Linked DNA regions of Notamacropus eugenii. Each later gene encodes a partner of the first gene's protein in a complex. Links are inferred from orthologs where the notes say so. Each region holds a gene or a part of one and is shown in the gene's direction. Other genes may lie near its edges.

Region 1 (8,331 bases):
AGATGGGGAAAAAGAGAAATATCTCTGTGTATGAGGCCCAAGAAAGAGCAGGCACATGGCTTTAGGAATGGATACAGATAGTTTCAATTGTGTGAGTAATTCTTCTAGAAAGAAACTTGTGAGACAGAGAGAGAGAAAGAGAGAGAGAAAGAGAGTGAGTGTGAGAGAGTGTGTGTGTGTCTATCTGTCTGTGCATGCATGTGTATGTCTGTCTGTTTCTTCTGTGGCAGGGGGACTATGCATACTCTAGTCCTGACTCTGCATGCGTGTGTGTGCGTGCGTGTGTGTGTGCGTGTGTGCGTGCGCGTGTGTGTTTCCAAATAAGTCCTAAAGTGTTAATTCCAGGTATTTTCTGCTCCACATTGCAGCCAAAGTATATTTAGATTAACTTCTTTGCTGTGTTCACATCTATGCCCAGCCAGTGTGAGCAGTTGTGTAGGACTATTTTGTGCGGGCACCTTCTCATTGAACATCATCAGTGATAAAATTGGGTCACTTTCACTGTTGACAGTGCTCCTCACTTGGAGGGAACTTCAAGATATTATGGAAAGTGGGCTCAGGTGCTAACTTTTTTAAGAAACCCTAGACTCATGGCCACAAGGACTACAATGCATTTTCTGTCAGAATTATACACTGTACAAGCACTGTGGAGAAAATAACCCCATGGAAACTCAACTTCTTGGTTTGAGAGCCCCAGCAAGAGGCCCTTATACTGGGCTGTGCACCTCGATACCAACTTCATCTCAAAAATAAGTTTTTTTCAATCCCCATTCTCTAAACAAGCAGACCTAAATAGAAAAAAGAAGACATTTTTCCTTGTTACTAGCACACAGATGAAAAAAGGGTTTATGATGCTACACCTTGTTTTCTGCCTAGTCTTTAGAGTCAAGTTGGGTCTCAAAAATTTTTGCTGGGAGTAGGGAGTGGCAAGTGGGTATAAATATAATAATACTATGTGGCAGATGGGTAGGAACCCATATCAAACAGGGCTTCTTAACAATTAGTGTAGCCCTCTGGTTGAGGATATAGGCTACTATTATGGCATTTGAGCCTTAGGTCACAGTGAAGTGACAACAGTGTTTTTTTCCTATTGCCTCAGGCCAGTTTTTAATTACAAGGCTGAGTTATTAAGGGCAAGATGTTTTTAATGTAGTTGTAGGTGTCTTGAAAACAGATGACCTTGGGGAGGAAGGGGGGCAATGTCATATTGATTTGGCCTCTCCTCTCCCCTTCCCTTCACCCTGGTACCAGATAGCAAAAAGACAGGGAGAAGGAGATATTTTATTTTTTAAAAATCTATGTGCACACACACACAGCATACATACATTATATATATTATATATATATTATATTTATATCACAATTTAAGAAGCCAAAAAGTTGAGTTTCCATTTGAATCTGTCTTTTGATAATCAATTATTTTTAAATGTGATTAGGACTATAATATTGTACAGTTATTGTAGGGTTTTGGGAGGGAGGGAAAAAAACTCTGGGGGGTTTTGTTCCTACTCTTCCTTCAGGGTTTTATTTTCAGTTGTGTTTATTTTTCTTGTTGGCCATTCTTTGTTACTTGGCACCTATGTCAAGTCTCATGGTGGCACAAATGATGTCATTATGTAGCAGAGATTTTAAAGCAAAGATATTTTTCCTTTTTAAAAATCCTTGTGTGTTTTAGTCTTGATTGTGACCGCACCATCCCTGCCCAGGTTTCTTGCTTAATGCTTCCTGCCAAGGTATACACAGACAGAAAGACAAAAATGTGCTGTGTGACACAGAGCACAGGTTAGCTCCACCAAAAAATACACATACTAAGACACCAAAGATAAGAAACAACTATTCCCTAAATGAGATGCTTATATAATCTGTATTTAAAAAAAAACAAACCTCAAATCAGAGCTCTGATCATTCATCTGCTTTTTTACTGGCCCTTTGATGTTGCTACTTTCAAGAAATGGAAGGGGATGGGAAGAGAGGACGCCTATATATATAGCAGAGTTCCAAGGAAGAGAGAGCTCTAAACCCTGCAGGAAAAAGTTATCTCTACTAGACTCTGACCCCAAATATCTTTATTCTCTGATGGAAAAAAATTAAGTATTGGGAGACAGGCTGTTTCTGCTTGTTCTTGGTTTCCTTCTGGGACTGTCTTCTGTAGCATGGGCTGAAGAAACTAGACTAATTTGAGCTTGAACTGCAGGGAAATCTAGGGCTAGAATCCAGCTGTGTTGGGGAAAAGAAACCAAATGTGTTTATCTTGCTGGAATCATCCTTTTTCCTTCTCCCATGTCATCTGTTTACTGGGGGAGGGGGGGGAAGGGGGGGGTTGGGGCTGAGGCAGACTCTTGTGATCTGTCACATGCTGGGAAGGGGGAGGATGGTCTAGAAGGGCTCATATGACTGGCATGTAATAATCATCAGACAATACCCATTCCTACCATTCAACACTTAAGAAAAGGGAAATCCCTTCAACCTTCCCCGTGGTCTCAATGCTTCTGGCATTGATTTATGTGTTGTCATTATTGGAATTGCTATTTCTAATTCAATTATTTTGTAGCTGAACAGTCTCCTATGTCATGAATCATTTCTTTTCCTTGAGAAAAAGGTTCCTCTATATAGGAAAGATACTATCTTGAATGGGGTCGGAGAGGTAGAGACATACTGACCTGGTGAATAACTTACAAGAGGCAGGAAGTTTGGTTACCTCACTCCATAAAGTGGCTGAATTTTGAATTTGTAAGAATTTGACAAAATGGATTGAGGGGCTGACCTTGGAATCAAGAAGATTACAATGGTTCACCTTCTGATTCTGTCACGTACTAACCAAATGGCCACAAGCCAGTTCCAGAGGAGTTCCTGATGTGCATCCCTGGGAGGAATTTGCTACCCTGATAACAGCCTTGTACCAAACACATTTAAATCCATAAGATGAATGATAAACTAGAATTTATAACATTCATGGGGTGTTTTAAGGTTTACAAAGCACTTTTATACATAATATTGTTTGATTCTTATAATAGTCCTTTGATTGAGGTATGTAATATCCCTATTTTACTGATGAAGAAATGGGCTGAGAGTTTGGTGGGACTAGGGTTGAGAGAGAACTATTTGCTTTAGGTAAAACACAAAGTCTGGGGCACGTTTTGAACATGATTTTTCGTGATTCAAGTTCTTGGGAGGATCTGCAATATACAAGGTGCTGGGGAAAAGAAAAAGATTAGATGTCTTTAAGCTTTTAATCTAGTAGAAAGAGATGTCAGTCCATCGACAAGCATTTATTAAGCATCTACAATGTGCCAAGTCCTGCTTAACAGGTACAAGGCAAAAATTACCTCAAAGACCTTACATTCACACACATACATAAAAAAAATAACCAGTCATAAGCCATTTACATGCCTACTATGTGGTAAACACTACTAACTGTTAGGGATACAAACAAAAAAGCGAAGGACCATCCCTACTTAAGCTCATGTTCTAATGGGGCACATATATAACTACATTCATACATGTACATACATTCACACATGGGTATGTACTTATTTAAATATATGTGTGTACACACATACCTATATGTGAACATACAGACCATATGTGTGTATATATATACACACATATACATACATAAACATATATACATAGACACACAGTGGTCAGACAAGAGTACCAGATGTAAGCAGAATTAAGCAGCCAGGGAAGGAGGAAGTGCTTGTTTTTTCATTGGTGTAACTGTTAAATTCTTTAGGTAAAGAGGGATGATTATTGTATGATGATCTTGAGAGAGCACAGTGAAGTAAAGTTAGAAACAGAAGGCAGACTGCCAAGGGTAGAGAAGTAAGTGTAGACCACTCCTTCAGGAAATTTGGCAGTGAAAGGAAGAAGAGAGCACAGTGCCTTGAAGTCTTCATCAGGGTGAAAATCAAGATTCTTTCTTAGGATAGGGAAGACCTTTTTAGGTGGATTTATTTATTGAGTCACTTCGGTTGTATCTGATTCTTTGTGACTCCATTTGGGGTTTTCTTGAAAAAGTTAGTGGAATGGTTTGCCAGCTTATTTGACTGATGAGGAACTGAGGCAAACAGTGACTTGCCCAGTGTCACACAGCTAGTAAGAGTCTGAGGCCAGATTTGAACCCAGAAAGATGAGTCTATCTGGCACCCCATCCATTTCACCACCAAGCTGTCCTTTTAAAGTGGATATAAATAATTAATGGAGAAGAAATGACTGAAGTTAGAGAAGAGCTTAGACTTATAGACCTTATAAATTGTTTTGTTCAATCACCTCATTTTGTGTACATAGACACACACAGACACACACAGACACACACAGACACACACACACAGACACACACACACACACACACACACACACACACACACACACCTACCCAGAAAAGTGAAATCTTTTATGTAAGACCAAACTGCTACTTAGGGGCAGAAGTAGGTCTACAATTTGGTTTTCAATGGTACTCTTCCCCAATAAGTTCTCTCAGGGTCCACAAGAACATATGATGAACACCACAGGTGGTGTAGTGGGTTACTTTTATTCAGGTGCATTAGTTCTTCTGAGAGACTTGAAGGAAAAATAGATTTGAAGAAAAAGAAGTTTCGACATCCAGGGTTAGGAGAGAGAATGGTCTCTAAAATAGGAGTGAAGGTCATCTGCTGAGAATTTCAGTGACCTAAGACATTGCTAATCTTACAGACTAAAAGAAACATTGCTCTTGTGTGTGTGTGTGTGTGTGTTTTAAAGTAAACAGTACCCCAAACGGTAGGTATTTAGTACGTGTGAAAAGTCAGTCTGGTGGGACTAGGGAGGCAAAACTAGCCTCCCACAGCCAGTACCCTTCTCAGCCAGAAGATAGAGAAGATAAAGCTTGGGAGGATCCTGTGTTGAGGCTGAATAGCCCAGCTTCCAAGACGAGTTTTCTGTGTGCCACAAAGTCATGTGAAATAACACCCAGCAACTCTTCCCTGTTGATATGCAAATCTGTTCTCCTCCTTCCCTTCTCTCTTTTGGTTTCCTTCCACTCTGCCCCTCTCCCCCCTCTTCCTCCTGGCCACTTCCCAGCCTGACAGTCCAGATTTTCCAGCCGACTGCTGGAACTGACTTCCTCAAACTTTTTGGAATAAAACTAGCATCCATAATCATCCCCCCAGATACGTGCCTGTGCCTTCCTCTCCAGACTAGAGGACAGACCATCATCAGGTAAAGCTGCGCTTTTCCTTTACCCTTCCCCTGCCCTTCCGCTCCTCATCCCTGCCTGTGGATTTCTTTAGGAAAATCAGGGGATACTACGACATGGGTGAAGTGACTTCTAGGGATAATTTTGTTGCCACATAGATATTTCTTCTTTGGAAATCTGCAATGTATCTTGTGAGTGGACTTTGTCCTAAAACTCTGAGGAGGGCAGAAGGGTTAGGGGCCTCCCACCCACTCGAATTCCCCCAAGGCTCTGCTTGTAGTTGTTTGCCTGATTTCAAAAGAGGATAGGGAGAGGAAGGATTAAGAGAGTTTAGATCTAGGGATCCTTATACTACAACACCCAAGTGGAGGGGAGAGTGTTAAAGCTATCCCATCTTTCTAAGATTTCTGGGCCTCCCAGCATGGTAACTGCTAATATTTGACATGGCTGGGGTTGTATAGAGGGTCTCTCAGCCCTGGCCCTTCCGGTACAATCATGAAAAGGACTGAAGACATGGTCAAAATGGCCCTCAGTAGCCTAAGCTTACTCAAAATTGTTAGTACCTAGGATGTCATGTGGCATGTTATTCTGCATAGCTGCTTTTGTGAAGGAGGCTTTATAACACAGTCCCACAGATCAGGGTGGGACTGAGTACTTGACCTTCAGGGGCTGCTCATGCTTGATTTTCTTGGGATGTAGAAACTGGGCTTCTGACAGTGGAAAAGAAAGGGAAATCTTTCTGACCACAGCAGCTGGTTGATATTAGAGCAGTTTCCTGAAAAAGGAGGAGGAAAAAAAAACTACAGTAGAGTTGGGAGTAGAGGAGAGGGGAGGATTTTGGAGAAGGGTTAGGGAAAGGGAGATAGAAATAAGTAAGGAGAATGGGAAGCAGAGAAAGCAAGAGAGATTGGGACAGGGAGGAAAATCCTTCCAATTAGCAAATTTTGGCTCAGCAGTCCATTCTATATCTAAGAATTTAGGAATGGGTTCTTTTGAAAGAAAAGTAGGTCAGAGTCTAAGGAGATTCACTGATCAGGTCAAAACCTCCACTTGGTGTCTATTAAAATTCTAATTTGATCTTGGCCATTCCCTTTTCCTTATCATCTCCTCTGGGCTTGCTGGGCATACTGGAGGGAGAGGGAGAAGATATTAATCAGATCATTTTTAATTTTCCCTTCCACATATGTAGAGCTAGAAGAAACCTTTGCACTGAAGACAACTCAAAGGCAAACAGTACAAAGTGAGTGCTCAGTTGAAAGGAATGGATGTATGTGGGAGGGTGAGCAGATAGAAACTTTGGAATACTCTTTAGCCCACCATCTGGTAGCTTTCTTATTTTAATTAACTATTTTCTTTCTAATTTCACTAAACTGCTGAAAAATTACAAATACTAGCCGTGCCCTCTAAATTTTATACGTTGGTGCAAAGGACTAATCGCCCTGCCTTAGACACATCTCAATATATATATTTATTTTGTTTCTCTATTGTGTGTGTTTGGGTGATGTTTTGCCAGGATAAAGTACACTGGGAGGAGTCAAGGAATCAGACAAGAAAAGCAATGTGTTTCTGTAATGTTTAGATTTTACCCAGAGCTGGGTCCCTGACTCTTATTCTTTGGTCATAAACCATTCTCAGCACTCTGTCTCCCTTCCCAAAATGACAGTTTCTCCCCACCCCCATTATTCTTGATTTGGAATTTGAATGCAGTTTTCATATATACCCCTTGCACATCCAGAATCTGGACAGTATTTCTTCCCTCAGGATGTGGGGGTTCAGCATCCTGTTATTGTTGCTGCCATCAGTGGTGAGTTCTGCTTTGTACCCAGAGGAGATGTTAGATACACAGTGGAAGTTGTGGAAGAAATCCTATGGAAAAGAATATAACAGCAAGGTATGTGGGGACCTGGAGGGAGGCCTGAGTTGTGACGATTGGAAGTATTTGAGGGGTCAAAGCTTCTTCTATCCTGTAACATTCTTTTAAGTACTAGACCCTCCCTGAAATATAAATCATTATAAATTCAATATAAATTTCCCACTTGAAGCAAATCTCCCCTGTTCTTTACTCATACTTCCCCCCTCTGACCTCCAAGCCTTACCCCAACTTGTTACCCAACCTTAATTCCCTGTTCCTTGTAGCCTTTCTAACCTTTCTTCTATAAGACTCCCCAGAATAACCCATGCCAGGTCTGTGTACTCCCTTGGTTGATATCATCCCAGGACTTATGGACTTAATATGATTATAATATTTGGCATTTCTTTATATACTAATTTCTAAGTACTCTTAAATTTTTTTTTTATGCACATATGTTTAGTTTCCTCACATTGTCCTCTCTTAGAGCATGGGAGTATCTGGCATCTTCCTTCTGACTCCCTGACAACATTTAGTATAGGTCTATACTTAGTGTAGTCTACAAAGGATGTTCAGTCAGAGTCACTGTTACCCCTGCTCTACTTAGGTGGATGAAATCTCTCGACGTCTGATTTGGGAAAAGAACCTGAAATATATTTCCACCCACAACCTGGAATTCTCTCTTGGTCTTCACACGTTTGAACTGGCTATGAACCATTTAGGAGACATGGTAAGTCTGTCTTATCCCCTAGTTTCAATTTCCTATGTAAGGGTTAAGTCTCAACCTGGCAACAGGAGCCAGACTCATCTTAAGGTTTTTTCCATTAAAAAAAATATGCCTTTTAGAATTTTTATTGCACATCATAGTCATTTTCAGATAGATTTCCTTTCCTCCACTGAGGAAATGAGCATGCCTGACAACCATGTCTGATAACGGATGCTCCTGAATCCTGTACCCACAGCACCCATTTTTCTACTAAGAGCAGGGGCATATATGTTAACTTTTCTGTTCTCTGGATCCCAGGTTGTTCACTGTAATTAATTTGAGTTGTGTTGTTTTCATTTACATTGTGTATGTTGTGTATAGTCACTGTATATATTATTTTCTTGGTTCTGCTTTCCTTGTTTTGCATCAGTTCTTACAAGTCTTCCCATGTAACTATGAATTCCTCATATTCATGATTTATTTTGGTACAGTACTGGCTTATTACATTTACATAATACAAATTCTTATTCTATCCCTTAATCAATAAGCACCTTCTTTGTTTCCAGTTTTGTTTTGTTTTTTGCCACCACAGAGTGCTAC
Region 2 (8,071 bases), on another chromosome or scaffold:
AAAAACCCATGGGTGGGGGAGAGCTTGTATGTATGATGCTGGTATTATAATAAGTTTCTCTATGTCATAAGTTCACCTAAAGGACAGTTTTTGCTATTACTGCACAAGTGCATACTTAGAGAAAGTTACTTCTATTATTTGGGGGTTCACATCCTGCTCAGGCATCCAGGAGTGCTACTTTCTGATTGGCTGAGTATTGTGGTCCTGAGATTAAATGGATGTGGTTGTGGTTGAGTGCATGAACATACCTGTTTCTGTGAAGAGAATTCATGAGGAATGGGTCTGAGAGCAGTGGCTAACTGGAGGCAGTGGCTGGGATCCCATCACAATCGACATGCCTGCTATTTCTGTGAGAAATATGAGTTCATGGACACACCTGTAGTTCTGGTGAGGAAGTGAGGCGTATGTGAGGAAGTTAGAATGTTGGGGGGAGGGGGGCAGTGGCTAACTAGGGGCAGTGGACCTGCTGTTCAGTGGGACCTGTGATTGAGTCCGAGATTCTCTAGTATGGTTAAAGCTAAATTATGTGGTCAAATCAGGGCATGCCTGCTGTTCAGTGGGACCCATAAGGAAGTCAGACTTGGGGCTGGGGGCAGCTTTCTGAGGATTCCATCAGTACTGATATTTTCTCAGTCACCTGTGTTGGTAAAAAATGCCTGTGATTTTTTTAAAGCATTTATCATCTTTTCCTCATTCAGATATCTTGATATCTGATTACTCGATGCTCTCAAAATTGTGTTGCCTCAAGCAAAGACTACCTTCATCAAAACTTCATCTGCTCCACTTATTCCTACCGTCTCTATTTCCTTTAGCACCATTACTACTTGGATAATGCAACAGAAATTGCAAACTAGAATTAAAGTCATAAGTCTGGAGTTCAAATCCTGCTACTTTTACTGATTGTTTTTATGATCTTGAGCAAGTTACTTAACCTTCCTGGGTCTCATTTTCTTCATCTATAAAATGATAGGGGAGAGGATAGACTAGATGACCTCTAATATTTTTTTGACCTCTAAACCAATATTATGATGTAGTATACTTAGGGATATAGTAGTATAGTGATGTATTAGGAACTGTTAAAAGCTCAAAAGTAAGAGCACTGCTATTATAAACAGGGAAAGCAATTTCTTATGGAGATCTTTATAGAATTTTCCCATTTTCTTAATTTATTTTCCTCTCAGCTATTAAACTTATTCACATTTAGGTATAAACAACTGACAAAATTCATTAACTTTATCCAGTATTTGTATTTTTGAGAAATGAAGAATTTGGTTGAACAAATTTTAGTATACAAGTAAATAGAACATTACTGCTCCATAAAGAATAAACAATGTGATAAATTCAAAGACTCATAGGATCTAAGTCATAGATCTGAAATATGAAGGCACCTTCCCAGTAATCTACTCCAATCTCCTCATTTTACACCAGTTTTTCCCATTCCCCCTCCCCAAAGCTTCCCTTTTTCCAAGTCCTTGAAAAAATTGTCTGAACTCTGCCTCTACCCTCTCCTCTTAATCACTCCTCAACCCCTGGAGGTTAGGTTCCAATCTCATCACTTAGCTGAAACTGTTCCTCCATGGTTACCAAAGACCTCTTAATTGCAAATCTGATGTTCTTTTCTCAATCCTAACCCTAAATGTAAACACATTTGACATTTTTGACCACCTTCTCCTCCTTAATACTCTAAATGTTAGGGATTTTCATGACACTTACTCTTTCTTCCCTGGTTCTCCTCCCTCCCACCTATCTGACAAGTCTTCCATCTCATTTGTTTGTCTATCAATCACATCATGCCTTCTATCATTGTGCCCCATGGTTCCATCGTCGTTTTTATTCTCCCTCTTTATTCTCTCTCTCTCTCTCTCTCTCTCTCTCTCTCTCTCTCTCTCTCTCTCTCTCTCTTTCCCTCTCTTTCCCTCTCTCTCTCTCTTCTCTCTCCCTCTCCCTCCCCCTCTCTCTTTTCCTCTTTCTCTCTCTCCCTCTCCCTCCCTCTCTCTCCCTCTTTCCTTCTCTCTCTCTCCCTCTTTCCTTCTCTCTCTCTCCCTCTCTCTCTCTGTCTCTTTGGCAAACTCATCATCTCACCTGGTCTTAACTATCATCTCTATGCAGATGACTCTTAGGTCTGCATATCTAGTCCCAGTCTCTCCTTAGCTTCACTCTTGCCTCAACAACTGCCAACTGGCTATTTCAAACTGGATGTCCCAAGGACACCTTAAATTCAACATGTACAAAACTGAATTCATTATCTTGCCCCACTAAACTCTGCTCTCTTCTAAATTTCTCTGTTTCTATCAAAGGTATTACCATCCTTTCCAGTCTCCAGTTCATAATGGGCACTATCTTGGACCTTTCACAGCCTCTCACCCCACATATCCAATCAGTTATCAAATCTATTTTTATTTTTTTTCTAACAAGCATTTATTTTTGCCTTTCCTCCCCCTTTGAGAATTAACCACAAGAACAAAAGTCTAACAGATATGCATGAGCAAAGCAAATTCTCACATCAATCATACCCAAAACTCTATGTTTCTCTCTACATTGTGAGTCCGTTACTACTCTGCCAGGAGGTAGGTAGCACCTGGGTTTGTCATGGCATGGATCAGAGTTCTAATTCTTTTCGAAATTGTTTTGTTTTGCTTTTCACATTGTGGTTACTTCAGAAATTGTTCTCCTGATCCTGCTCACTACCCTCTGTATCAGTTCACACAGATCTTCCCAGACTTCTTTGAAATCATCCACATTATCATTTCTTAATGAGCAATAATATTCCATTTCAATAACCAAATCTTGTTATTTTTACCTCTATTACATTTCTTATCTCCAATCCCATCTTTCTACTACATAACAACTGCCTTACTCCAGGTCCTCATCACTTCTCACCTAGATTACTACAAGAGGCTTCTACTTTGTTTCCCTAAGCTGTATGCTGGGGATACAAACAGAAAGAATGAAGTAATGCCCAACTTGCATTCCGATGGCAGAGACAACAAGTCCATATATATACATAAGCATATGCAGCATAAATTTGAAGAGAATAAATACAAAGTTGTTAAATACCAGGTAGTTTGAGTGGAAGGGCACTAGCATTCGGTTGATTCAAGCAAAAGATGGTACTTGATCTGTGTCTTTAAGAAAGGATCTCTATGAAAAAGAAGTAAGAGTCACTGTGAAACCCAGATGTGAGACAGTGTCAAGGCATAGTAGATGGAGAGTCGTATGTGAGGAATAAAGAGGCTAGTTTGGCTAAATTTTAAAGTGAGGGGTGGAGAATAACATCTAATTGGAATGATAGATTGAGGTCAGGTTGCCTAGGCCTTTAAAAATTACACTCCTTTTAATTGGTTGGTTGGTTAATTGACTGGTTGATTGACTGGGTGCCAGACTGGTTACAGGATTTGTTTAATGCCACACCGGTAAGAAGTAGAGGAGGTGGGATTGGAATTCAAATCCTCTGACTTCAATACTAATGCATTCTCCAGTGCACTACCTTACCTCCCAAATAGGAAATACAAGAGAAGATTGTATTGTGATATAGTGAACACAACAGACCTGAAGTGAATATAAAAAAAAAACTGACTTTAATTATGTAAATTAAGTCAACTTTGAGAAGCAATAAAATTCAGATCAATCAATCAATAAGTAGTTATTAAGTGTCTTTTATATACCAGGCACTATGCTAAGCACTTTGATCAGTGAGTTGGACAGGACTGGTACTAACTTGGAAACTTTTTTTTTAAAAGAAAGCACATAAAATGTAAAGTTGAGAAACATTTAATTGCTTATTATGTGCCAGGCACTGGCACTTAGCAAAGTCCCTGGAATACAGCAGGTGCTTAATATAGAAGGAAAAGGAGTAAGCATTTATAAAGTGCCTACTGTGTACCAGGTACTGTGCTAAGTGCTTTACAAATAGTATCTAATTTGGTCCTCACAACAACGCAGGCAGGTAGGCACTGTTAATATCCCCATATGATAGGTAGGGTTACTCTGTAACAAACAGAGCAAGTGGCTTGCCCAGGGTCACATAATCGGTATCTAAGATCGTATTTGAGCTGGGGCCTCCCTAGCCCCAAATGTAAATTGACTAACTGTCCGGGATACAAAGAAAGCCACAGACACCGTACCAGACCTCGGGAAACTGACACTCTCATCGAGGAAACAAGGATTAAAAAAATGTACGTATATATGTAACAGACAGGCCACGTGACTAAAAGGTAATCTCAGTCGGGTGAGAGGAGGGTAGGGGGTAGGGGATGGGTGGGAAAAGTACCCCCTGGGCTTTTAGCTGAATCTAGAAGGAAGCCAGGAGGGCCAGGGGCCCTCCCTCAGGGATCGTTTGTTTCCCTGTTCTATGTACATTGTAACAATGCTGAGGATACAAAGGTTTGGCACGCTTGGAAGAAATAACGTCGGTCCCCAAAGCGTGCGTAAAAAACAAATTACTTGTAATTACGTAACAAAGAAATAGATAACAAACGCTTGCCAAATGAAAATTAAAACAATTTTTAAAGGAGTTTTTTTAAGGAAGTCCTAAAAGGGATATGGAAATCACTCCCAACCTCCCACCCTGTGTGCTCTGCCTAGGCATACGACGTTTTTTTTTTTCTTTCCAAAAAAAACAACGAAACTGAACTGGAAAAGTGGTCAAGCGGGCCGCGGCTGCAGCCTCGGCCCCGGGCTGCGCGGCGTCCGGGCGGGGTTTGCACAGAGGGGAGGGGCAGGCGGGGGAGGGGCAGGCGGAGGAAGGGCCGCGCGGGGGCGGGCTGGGCTGGGGGCGGGGCCGGGCTGGGCTGGGGGCGGGGTCGGGGCGGGGGCCGGCCTGGGGGCGGGGCCGGCCTGGGGGCGGGGCCGGCCTGGGGGCGGGGCCGGCCTGGGGGCGGGGTCGGGCTGGGGGCGGGGTCGGGCTGGGGGCGGGGCCCAGCGAGGAGCTATTTAGATCCAGCCTGGCCAGGCCACGGGAGGCGCGTCCCCCAGCAGAGATTTCAGCTACGTTCTCCTCGCGGCGCACTCCCAGGAGCTACGATGGCCGGTCCCCGCTCCTTCCTGCTGCTGCCTCTGCTGCTGCTGGCCCTGGCCTTCGCCGTCCAAGCCGAGCGCCTGCCCCGCCTCCTGGGCGGCCTCATGGAGGCCAACGAGAACGAGGAGGGCGTGCAAAAAGCGCTCGGCTTCGCCCTGAGAGAATTCAACAAGGCCAGCAACGACATGTACCACAGCCGAGTGTCCAGGGTGGTGCGAGTCAGGAAACAGGTCTGTGCGGAGCCCTTCTCCCCTTCCCGGGCCCCGTCATCCCGAGGCAGGGCCTGGAGCCGCACCCTCCGCCGGGACTCCCAGGCTGGGGGCGGCTCCAGCGGCGGCATCCCGCCCCGCTGTTCTGGAAGCCACCCCAGGCGCCCTCCTCTGCCCCAGCTGGTGGTTGGTTGGGCCCCTCCCCTGTGATCCCGGGGGGGGGGGGGAATCTGAGCGCGGGGGTGGGAGGGGCTTGGCAAGAGACCCTCATTTGGGATTGTGAATTTTAAATATGTGTGTCTGAGTGTGGTTTTAATTATGCATTTCTTTGTGTATGTAGATATATATATAGGTGTGCACATATGTATATATGTGCATGTGCTGTGTGTACAAATGAGTGCATATGCAACGTATGCTTATCTTTGTGCATAAATATACATATGTGTCTAGAGATATACACAGATATATTCTTAAGGTCAGGGACTGTATCGTTGTTTCTCTTGACCCAATTAACTAAAATGTATTAAATGCCTACCATATATGCCAAGCACTGCGCTAAGTTCCAGTGGCTAGCACGCAGGAGGCACTTCATATATATTTCTGGACTTCATGTAAATGCAGCTTTACGCTTTAGTCACTTTCTGTTTGTTAAAAGGAGAGAGGGGCATATGCTTTTTTTTGTTAGTACCAACCCTGTCCACCTTGTTCATCTCGGTGCCTAGCGAGGTGTTTGGTATATAGTACCTAAAACATATATATGCATTTAAAAACATTTTTCTGAGAAGGGGTCTGTAGGCTTCAGCAGACTGCCCAAAGGATCCTTAAAACATCCGGAAATGATTAAGGAACCGTGATTTAGGAGGTGAATTGTCCTCTGTTGGGCAAATAGAAACAAATGCTTTCTCTCTCTCCTACCTAACCAGGCTTTTCTGCACTGTCACTTGGATTAAAAAGGGGAACGGGAAGTTTGCATTGGATGAATTCAGGAAGTAGAAGACCCAGTGTGCTTTCTCCTTTGCAGTTCAGTGTGAGGGATGCTGTACCCCGCACCACAGGGATTTACCGGGAGTATTTATTCTTTGGCTGTAATGCATTCTTCTTCATCCCCCAGGCTGTGATGGGAGCCAAGTTTGTGACTAACGTACCAAGTAACTTTGCACTGTGAGTTTGGGGAGTCTGAATACAGGAAAATGGAGTTGATGGCAGTTCTTCTTGGGACTAACCTACACCCTGTTCTTGTGGATACAAGTCCAGTAGTGAATAGAATAGCTCTTGGTCAGCAAGGCAGTTGGGGTGTTAACTAGTATCTTGACTTTTTAATCTTTGTTTTTTTAAAGTTCAGAGGAGAACCCAAACTGGCTGTTCTGTGGCACCTACTATCTCTGTAATTTTTTTTTCTTCTACCAAACAATTGTGAATCAATCATTTTTATCTTTGAGCTTTTCTGTTTTTTCAGGTAGTAATAAAGACTAGAAGGACGTAATTGAGCTGTCTTACTTAACACCTGCATGACATTAGGCAAATCAGTTAACTTGCGGCTCTCAATTTTATCTTTATCTTTTTATCTTTAAAATTAGAAAAATGGAATAGGTAACTTTTAAGGTTCTTTCAGTTTCTGAATATAAATTATCCCTGGCCCATTCTCTTCCCTATAATACCCAAGAACACATTAGGTCAGAAAAATGCCTCATTGTCTAATGGCCGAAATTCACCTCTGGCAAATGATACTCTAATGAAAGACCCGTTTGTCAGATATCATTAGTCTGAGGTGGTCCATTTTTCTGTATTTAGGTTTTGGGATTGTTTTAGCTCACAGGCTAGGAATCCTCAGTCGATTGGACATTTGAAGAGTATATTTTTTAAAAAGTCAAACTTTATTTATTTATTCTTTCTTTTGTTTTCCTCTCAAATGTTATTCTGCTCCGTATTTCTGAAAAACTGGTTGGATGTTGGATAGGTCTGGGGTTGCCTAATAATGGCCTTTAGGGTCAAGCCTGGTTGGTGTTTCGCATATGTGTTTGTGTAAGAGAAATTACTTAAGATCCCGCTTATCATGACATTGTTTTGAGGGATTGTTGTGACACAGAATTTTAGACTTGAAGCTTCAAACTTTCAATTTCTCTGGGTTTTTGAGGGTTGTGGGAAAGGTTACCCAGTCTGTTCTGCCTTAGAAAATGTCCACACAATTGGTGTCTTTTCCTGTACCCATCTGAAAAGGAGAAAATGTCTTGGGCCATGCATGCATCACTTGAACTAAGCCTGGTGGTAAGGTTTATTGTGATTGTGTCTTAATCCTGAAAGTAATTTCTAGGTCTGTCATTTTTCTAAGATGCTATAAGTTTCTATTAGGAAGCCAGAATCCTGATCTAGTTGTAGGTTACTACATTTGTATGACATTTTGAGATTTCCAAAGCACTTTGCATACATTATCTCATTTGAACACATTTAACATTTATAGAATCACAGAATCTTAGGCATGTAAGGGACCAAAGAAGTAGCTTAGTCCAATCTCTTTCTGAACAAGACTCTATGCTATAGCATCCTTGATCATGAGTGAATGAAATATCGTTTATTGGCCTGCTATGTGCCAAGGATTTTACTATAGGAGTTTTACAACCCAGTGGATAGGATTGGGTGTTTTGATCTGGGGGAGTCACAAGAATGGGAAGGAGCCATGGGATGTTTCACAATAAGCTGTGTTGGAATGAGGAAAAATCTGGGGACAGTGCTAGAGCTAGTCTGGAGGAGCAGGATAGATAGATGCTAAGTATGTTCTGGGGCTAGCTAGATAGGATGGGTTACCAGAGTTTCCATTCTCTCACTTACAGGAACACATCATCTAACA

Evidence for each region.
Region 2: the proteins of CTSK (region 1) and CST3 are in contact, whole or in part, in a crystal structure (PDB 8V57), measured with the Mus musculus proteins. The link is inferred for Notamacropus eugenii from reciprocal best matches to the Homo sapiens genes CTSK and CST3. Residues at the interface, in NP_031828.2 of Mus musculus: Asn132, Gln133, Gly134, Gln135, Cys136, Gly137, Cys139, Trp140, Glu173, Asn174, Tyr175, Cys177, Gly178, Gly179, Gly180, Tyr181, Met182, Ser248, Ala251, Ser252, Gln257, Phe258, Val274, Asn275, His276, Ala277, Ser297, Trp298, Ser301, Trp302; in NP_034106.2 of Mus musculus: Pro27, Arg28, Met29, Leu30, Gly31, Ala32, Pro33, Gln75, Leu76, Val77, Ala78, Val80, Asn81, Tyr122, Pro125, Trp126, Lys127, Thr133.

The regions. Positions count from the first base shown.
Region 1 is NC_092873.1:304,709,176-304,717,506, reverse strand, and holds the start of CTSK (cathepsin K), read left to right. Parts: upstream 1-4,928; 5' UTR 4,929-4,972; coding exon 4,973-5,199; intron 5,200-6,365; coding exon 6,366-6,416; intron 6,417-6,937; coding exon 6,938-7,067; intron 7,068-7,632; coding exon 7,633-7,755; intron 7,756-8,331. UniProt on the Homo sapiens protein: Thiol protease involved in osteoclastic bone resorption and may participate partially in the disorder of bone remodeling. Displays potent endoprotease activity against fibrinogen at acid pH. May play an important role in extracellular matrix degradation.
Region 2 is NC_092872.1:600,093,489-600,101,559, reverse strand, and holds the start of CST3 (cystatin-C), read left to right. Parts: upstream 1-4,876; 5' UTR 4,877-5,022; coding exon 5,023-5,247; intron 5,248-8,071. UniProt on the Homo sapiens protein: As an inhibitor of cysteine proteinases, this protein is thought to serve an important physiological role as a local regulator of this enzyme activity.